Oryzias latipes: one gene and its partner. The protein of the gene in region 1 purifies or fractionates together with the protein of each later gene. This does not show direct contact. Links are inferred from orthologs where the notes say so. Each region holds a gene or a part of one and is shown on either strand. Other genes may lie near its edges.

Evidence for each region. The genes of interacting proteins can lie anywhere in the genome.
Region 2: the proteins of lrwd1 (region 1) and orc3 purify together in Homo sapiens (affinity purification with mass spectrometry; 4 studies listed by BioGRID and IntAct, with this or other methods). This does not show direct contact. The link is inferred for Oryzias latipes from reciprocal best matches to the Homo sapiens genes LRWD1 and ORC3.

The regions. Positions count from the first base shown.
Region 1 is NC_019872.2:25,220,948-25,224,939, forward strand, and holds the end of lrwd1 (leucine-rich repeat and WD repeat-containing protein 1), read left to right. Parts: intron 1-85; coding exon 86-247; intron 248-380; coding exon 381-490; intron 491-2,628; coding exon 2,629-2,781; 3' UTR 2,782-3,362; downstream 3,363-3,992. UniProt on the Homo sapiens protein: Required for G1/S transition. Recruits and stabilizes the origin recognition complex (ORC) onto chromatin during G1 to establish pre-replication complex (preRC) and to heterochromatic sites in post-replicated cells.
Region 2 is NC_019880.2:10,107,372-10,111,616, forward strand, and holds the start of orc3 (origin recognition complex subunit 3), read right to left. Parts: upstream 2,831-4,245; 5' UTR 2,708-2,830; coding exon 2,684-2,707; intron 2,578-2,683; coding exon 2,520-2,577; intron 2,440-2,519; coding exon 2,342-2,439; intron 484-2,341; coding exon 345-483; intron 254-344; coding exon 149-253; intron 52-148; coding exon 1-51. UniProt on the Homo sapiens protein: Component of the origin recognition complex (ORC) that binds origins of replication. DNA-binding is ATP-dependent. The specific DNA sequences that define origins of replication have not been identified yet.

The DNA.
Region 1 (3,992 bases):
TGAAAGTTTAAGGAAACGAATACTTTTCTTTTACTTCTGGAGACGATTTTAACTTCTGCTTTTGTTGCGTCCGTCCTCCTGCCAGCCTCTAAGAACTACATGCACAGCTGCATCTACCTGTGGAGCTGGAGCAGGACTGTGGCTCAGCGGCCGGACAGGAAGAGCAGGAAGGTGTGTGCGGTGATTGTGGCTGAGCTGCAGTGGGCCAAAACCGACATACCCTACCTGGCTCTCAACACCTGTCCTGGTAGGTTACGACCTGTCTTGTCATATCCAAAATACTTTAAATACTGAACACATGGCAACCTGTAACGAGAAGAAGCTATTAGAAAGCTAATAATCAGCAGAAGGTCTAATGTTGGCCTGTGTTCACTTCTCAGGACGTGGTTACATTGTGTGTGGTGATGAGAAAGGCAGGATATGGACGTACCACGCTGCCAACCTCCAGAAAAATGGCTATCAGACTGGAAAACCCATCCCGCCTACTGATGTAGGTGTCTCGCCTGTATGCCAATGCATGAATTATTCGTTTTGTGGGTAAAAATTTCTGTCTGCAAAATTATCTCTTGTGCTTGCAGCATAAAAAAAACCCCACTAAGTTGGATTGCAGAGTATGAAAATGACTTGAAAGCTCCCAGATGGTGGAAATAGTCTGGTTATAAACAGCGGCGCTCTAAACAAAGCTAAAAGAAAATCCAAACAGTGACCAGAATCCATTCCTAACATCTGGACAGTGTCCTCTGTTTAGCTGGGATCATGTTTTTATGCAACAGAGGATAAAACATGACATTTTTAAGCTGTAAAGCCAACCCAACTAATAATATTTTACATTTGATTGTTTTATCATGTTATTAAACTAAATACGTTCACAGAAAGTATTTCAGTTTAGCTATATGGTTAGATTTACTACTATTTCTGAGTCTCTTCTGGAAGAACTGTGGCCAAATGCTCACAGGGATTTCTTTTTAATTGTGGTACGATCCCACACACGACTGAATAAAGGTACAAAAAAGTCAAGCTAGCAAGAGGCTTGCGTTTATCCTGCCTTAACAAAGAAAAATGCTTTTATGTTGTTGATAAATCTATTTATTCCTGCAGCACAGCTTGATCAGAACCACTGTGGAAGCCTTTGCAATGGCTGTTGCTCCACTTGCTTTGACCTTTTTTAGGCATCTAAAATGTACTAATATTTCAGATGCTCTTGAAATGTGAGGTGACTTCTTTCTGTTTGCACAGGAAGTTGCAAACAAGGAAATGCACAGTTTGAACGGTTTAATTTTGTATGAAAGTCCCACCGAAAATGTGTGTGATAGAGAAAATCTGTCATTTCCCGCTGATGCTGTTAACAGGAGCCAAAAGGGTTTTACAAGCAAAGGTTCATGAAAGATTTCATCATTATAAGTGTATATTTATAGTTTGAAAGACTGACTTTTTCTTTCAGACTTGATCCCGATCAACTAAGAATAGTTCTGACGAGCCAGAAGATGCACTTCAACCCTCCTTTTATGTTTGTTTCTGTGAAACGGCACTGATGTTTGCGGGTCAATTTGACCCGAGGCACATTTAACTTCACAAAGACATCCAAAATTCGCTAAAAAACTTTGTTCATGTCTCATCATGAACTCCAATGCTAACCATTTCAAACAATATTTAGTTCGATGATGTTCTTTACTGTTCAATATAAATAATTCCTTTGTTTGTTTTTGTTTACAAAACATTTTAAAAAATATTTATGTACACTGAAAATGCTTACATGGTAATTACAATAGTTTACATGCAGTTGATTTTGTAAAATCATATATATTTAGATTTTACTAACAGTGTTGTTTAGAAATTAAAGGGTCAACTTGATCTGCTAACTTAAAATTACCGTATTATAAGCATGACATGAGTATTTCTATTGAAAGTAACTTTTATAGAATATATTTTGTAACTGATATATTATTTTTATGTTTGATTTATTAATCATTTAGTGATTTCTTAAAAGAAGAAATTGACAAAAAAATATATACAAAAGAGGAAACATAACATACAGGAGATGGACTTAACCCTCCTTTTCTTAGTTTCTGAAGAGTAACACTGATGTTCTTGGGTCAATTTGACCCGAATTACAATTAACTACACAAAAGTGTCAGAAACCAAAAAAGTCACCAAAAATGTTCTTTATATTTGTTATTACATCCTTTGTTAACCATTATACTTACTATTCACATATCATTGTTCAAAGAGACTCGTTTAAACAATAGCAATTATTATATATGCAACTTTTTATTTTACATTTTCTTTATGATGGCATTATTTTGATAAATTAAAATAAGACACCTCTTATGTTTAGGGTCAAATTTACCCACTAACCTAAAATACTAAAGAACATGTGAGAATTTGTGTTGAAAGTAACTTTTATTTAAAGAGAGAATACATTGTTTTCATTTCCATTTTCCAAGTGTTTCTGCATAAACAGACTTTTATGTTAAAATAAAGGACAAAACTAAAATACGATGGATGAAAAAAATAAAAAACAGTGAATATTTTTCGGCTTTCTTGGCTTGTGGTTCTATTTGTAAGCAAATTATTTTGATTAAGCTAAATATCCTCCCAAGATTGATGTATTTCCGGCTTTCATTGCAGGTGTTGGAGTGGCCGGCCCCAAGAAGGAAGGGCCTGGGCTCTTTGGAGGGCCCCTCCATTAACAGCGTGGCGATGGATCCTGAGCTCACTTACATGGTCGCCCTGAGTGACAAGAATATGGTCATCATTTGGAAGAAAGAGGAGTGTTCATGAGCATTTTCTGTGGTTGTTTTTAAGGTGAAAAAAGTTTTGTTTCTCTAACAATGTTCATATAGATTTTTATTGTTGTTTTCCCACCTGGAGAAGGGGAACTTCTAAGATGTAGAACTTTGAAATGTTTTTTTTTTAAATTGTTTTTTAAGACTGAGTTTGGTAAAAAGCTAAGTTTTAATTTCCCCTTTTTTAAATTAGAGAAATATACTACTGTTAAATATGTGAAAAGAAATCTGTGACAGTTGTTCTAAACTGATTTTGACTGACGTTAGTTCTCAACGAACCAGAATTTTGTTTAAATAATTGTGCTTGAGAATGTATTTTTACGGCTTTATCTCTGACTCCACAGTATTAAACTTCCTTCTGGGTTAAGGGAAAAAAAAGTCAAATATTTTTATTTTTCTTTCTTTCTTTTCGCCATGTCAGCTTTTTCAAAGCACCAGTTTCATCTAACTTTCAAAATACGAGTGCAGAGCTACCAGATAAGATCAAATCCAACCAAAGCTGATATTTAAAGATCGCAATATTAAAAGCACATTTTTGAAAAACTTGTTTGATGTGCTAATAAATTTAGATTCTAATGTATTTGCAGTGTTTTTTTAAAGAAAAAGACTTGAAATGTGATTGCTGGTCATAATTTATGTTTCAATAATAAAACATGCAGCAATCCAGCTTTATTGCAAGAAGTGAAAGTGCTTTAAAAGATAAAGTACTGAACATTCCCTTCTTTCTAATTATGATGAGCTCAAGGAAAAGTTGGATTTTTGCTTAAGAGTGGTCGAACTTTTTGTGCGGCCATAAAACCTACCTTTTTAAATAAAAATGTAAAGCTTTGTCTTAAATTATTTTAAATCAGTTTTTGATGAAAGAATTGTTCCTTATTAGTATTTGTAAAACTGTATCTTTGTTGCAGTATGGAAGTAATCACTGCCAAATTTGATAAGCATTGACTAATGTATTTATTCTTTCCAGTAGTGGCAACGTCATGGTTTTTTTAAATTAAGTAGTTTAAAAGGTAATTACTAAAGTGTATTAGTTCCTAAAAGTACTTTAAATAATACTTTTGAAACCTTTTTAATAAAATGCTGTATAAAAAAGTGGATTAGATAAAACAGCCAGGCTCATTTAGTTTTTTTCTTTTTCTGCGCCTTTGAAACACATTTTTATGGATATAACATGACTAAATTAGCACATACATTAAAAATAATCCC
Region 2 (4,245 bases), on another chromosome or scaffold:
CAACCGTCTCCATTAATCCCTCCAGGACCCTCTTCAACAAATGCTTCAGTGCTACAAAAATCAAGCAGGAAAACCATATACCAGTAACTGAAAGTTTGGTGAGTCACTGTATACACTGAGAAAGTATATGAAAGTATTCAGCTCTTACCTCCACATTCCTTGGCCTGCAGAGAGACCACATAAGGAGTGACAGACTGTCTGAGTAGGTCCGAGAGGCTGCTGAAGGTCAGGTCGTGATCGGGAACGTTGACACCTGGAGAGCAGGTCAAAGAAACGTCAAACCGCGCCAAAAATAGTGGGGTTTTATCGGGTTAGCTGGTTCCTGAAGAATGTACGCCGCATACCCAGCATGAGGGCAGCTGTGGGAATTTCACTGGCCCTCATCTGCGATGCCCAGTCGCCGTGACAACGAGCGGAGGAACACTTCCTGCTGAACTCCAGTAAGCTGTCCAAGATTTTCCTATGGAGTTCATCCTGCAAAACCTTAAAATGACATTTAAAAAAAAGCATCAAAAAACGTATCTGAAGGTTATATGTGAAGGTGGAGTAATGCACACTCCACCAAGCCTTCCAGGGAGAAGAGACGGAGAAGCCCACTGCTCCACCTTAGGATCCCTGTTTACACAGGTAGATATTCATATTTACTAGTTTGTTGTTATCAAATCATTTATTTGTTGGTGTTTTTCTTTTCATTTGGTTGTTCATTGATTTTGTTGCATTATTCCAATTGCCCTGAGGCTTGGAGCCCCTCCCCACTGACTTTAGGATTTAGGTCAGGTGAAGCTGGGAGTAGAAAAGTGACTCAGGAAGAATAAGACCAGAAGGTTCACTTGAATTTATTTTTAAGCGTAGTGATGGTTCCGGCAACACCGACGCGCCGGCTCACGTGTCGAGCTCATAAAGAGAAACCCTCTGTTGGTGCGCGCATCACTTCAGGAGAAGTCACGTGACCAACACAGCCACTGTGTGTGTGTGTGTATGTGTGTGTGTGTGTGTGTGTCACACAGGAGTCAAACAAGGAAGCGCGTCTACCAGCAGTGTTGCCAGATTCTGCGGTTTCCCACCCAATTGGGTGGTTTTGACTTAGAAATTGCAGAGGAAAAAGAAAAAAGAAGAAAAAAAAGTTCATGCACCTGATCCGTGTCCAGTTTCCCGGTTTATTATGTTTCATTTTACCAAATCTTCCCTAACGGTGTTGAATGCTGTGTTTTTATTTGGTTGGTGGAATTTCTTCATAGTTTTACTAGTGTTTTTAGCTTTTGGTCCCCCTGTTCCTCTCAGTTTATGCTGAATCTAGCAGAATACCAATCCATTTCAAACAGACTCTTTTTTTAATTATTATTTAATCATTTTATGTTTTGGAGGTTAAAGCAGAACTGCCAAACTACCTCCTTCATGCTGGGACATTATAGAGCGAGACATGGGAATGAGGAACTACAAAGACAAATATTGTTTTTACACTAGTTTATGTATATATCTGTTTAGTTTTTTTAACTTGGTAGCCTGCAGTGATGTTTTCAGTCCAGCATGAGTCTGCATCGAATGACACAGTATTGACAGATTATCAATACGGTTTAGGAATGTGCCAAAATACAACATGACGCCTCATCTACCATCACTACACTGTTGTAAATGTATACAAGTGCCATATATATTGTGTCCTATGGACTATTTTGCCTCACTGAAAAATATTTATGGTCATTTTCTATAACATTTCTTGTTTTTACACCTCTCTGTGTTATTTTAACTATTTGTTTATTATTTATTATTTAGACCTCGGATTTTGTTTGATTATTTATTATTAAAATCAAAGAGATGCATATCTATACGTGGGTATATCAAACTTTGGATAGTTAATCGTGACTTGATTGGAAAAGTAAAAAATACAAGTAGTTCTAAATTATGTTATTATAGTTACTCAAATCAAAAATATACACATTGGTATTTATAGATAAAATACATGACACATGAAATTCATTAAGTGTGAAGTTTGTCTGAAAAAAAGGTTTAAATCTTTGCTTTAAAATTAGAGTGATTAAGCAAAGTTATATAATCCCACCCCTAGTATGATTTACATGACTTTTTAAAAAAATATTTATTATATTCTAGTTCAAAACTTAATAAGAGTCATTTTTACTTTACCAGTCCAATTGCAGATCATTTGTCAAATTCATACGTATTAATATAAAATCACAAAGAAAGTGCCTATTGAATTTGACTATATTTCAGAAGTTAGAATCCTGTTTATTTTACTGAATTTTGATCAGGCACCTAAGTCGATACCTAATTTGGTTTCGACTAAAACTTAAAGTAATTATATTCTCTCTTCAGCGTTTCTTACCTCAGTTTCAGTTTCGATCTGCTTCCACAGATCCTGGCAGAGCTTGAATCGCCTCTGGCCGCTTTCCGGACCCGCGCAGTCATGAATAAAATAACTTTCTGTGTGGACAAAAAAAAGAAAAGACAAGTTAGCATAGAGTCTTAGGAACCATTATAAAACACTGACTGAGACTCCTCACCCTGACTGACATCCTGCTTCTTCCTCTTCTTCGGACTGGGCTTAAAAACAAAGCATCCCTGCGGACAGCACAATCAGAAGCAGGTAAAGAAAAAAATATCGCAGCCATCTTGTTTTATTTTCGTTACGACTTCAAGTAGATCTGCGCGCAGCAGAAAATATCACCTTTGACACAGATGACGTAGACATCTCTGAGATATCGAGGAGGCCGCCGATCCTCCAAAGATCCAGGCATTCAGTAAACTAGTGTTTAGTGAAATGCCGGCTGCATGTCTTCCTAAAATCGTCGTTTTCCCGCCAAAGTGACGTCACAGTTTAGCCAATGAAACGGCAGTAAAATTGAACGCCCCGCCCAACCAGAATACGTTCACTTCTAAGTGCCTTATTTAGTAAAATAAACTTCTTTTTTTATCTTAACTTAAGAAAAAGAAAATCTTATTAAGTGTCAAATAAGTTTCTTTTTAAAGTAATAATGGATTAAATTATTTGAAAACAAAAATATTGTAATCCACCTATAATGAGATGAACTGAAAATATATTTAGAACATATTTGTGCAAAGTAAAATAAATACTTTATCATAAAATAATTTTAAAATGTATTTGAAAAAACTTTATTTTTAAAATTGTTGTAGAGATCTATAAACAGCACTATTGGTCTAAAAATTTAGAGCACCTTATTTATATTTTTTATTTAAATGTATTCTGTGTAATGTCTTGATAGCAGCTGGATCTACAAAAAAGGAATCCCAAAACTAATTTATAGACCAAAATTTACTTTAGTTTAATCAAAATCACCATTTTTCTTACCTCAGGAACGCTCTTTCATAGATATTTTCACAAGTTCTTTGGGGCTCGTAAGCTTCTTTGCTCCCAAACCAGCTTCCTAGCAATCTGGAGACTGTGCTGACTGACCCCTGCGTGTTTTCAAGTTTACCGTCTTGTTTTGTCTTCAGGTAGTTCTGGCAAAGCTTGGATTTGTGTTTTAGGTCATTCATTTGTTGTAGTACAAACTCTTAACCAACTCAGCACCCAAGCGCTGCAGTCTTGTGGTGGCTGAGTTGGTTTAAGGTGCCTCTTGCCCTATTTATATCACTGACCCCAAAACAGCTCCATACCATCACACTTCCTCCTCCGTGTTTCACAATTGATGTCCCACACAGTGGAGCTGTTCTTTCACATTTTGACAACACATAAAAACAATTTGAAATAAAGATTTTTTACTTTTGATTATCGATTTATGAAGGCTTCTTCCAGTCTTCAGTAGTCCAGTGTTTCCTGAATCAGTGAGGACTTTTTGCTTTGTTGTGATGTTTCCGTAATGCCTTTCTTGCTGCAACTTGTTTTGTCAATCTCATACCTCCAAGTCTATTTTTCACTGTGTAAGTGGAAACCCCCTTTAATGGCCACAATTAAATTGTTGTGAGTTTGGGTCTGTTTGACCTCTTCCTATCAGTTTCCTGCATTTTCTGAGTGCCTTTTGATATTGATGAAAACCGTACCTATTGACACCTTAACATTTCATAAACATATAAAGCACCACACACGCAGAAACATTAAAGAATTTAAAAGTTATTTTTGGATACTCATTTTCTTCCTGTATCAATCATTATTTGGTTGTTTTATTAGGATATTTTGTTTCACTGCCTAAAATTTACTTTTTTCAAATTATTATTTTCTAATTTACATTGAGAATAGTTGGTGTTATTGAACTCAGCAATCAGAAAATG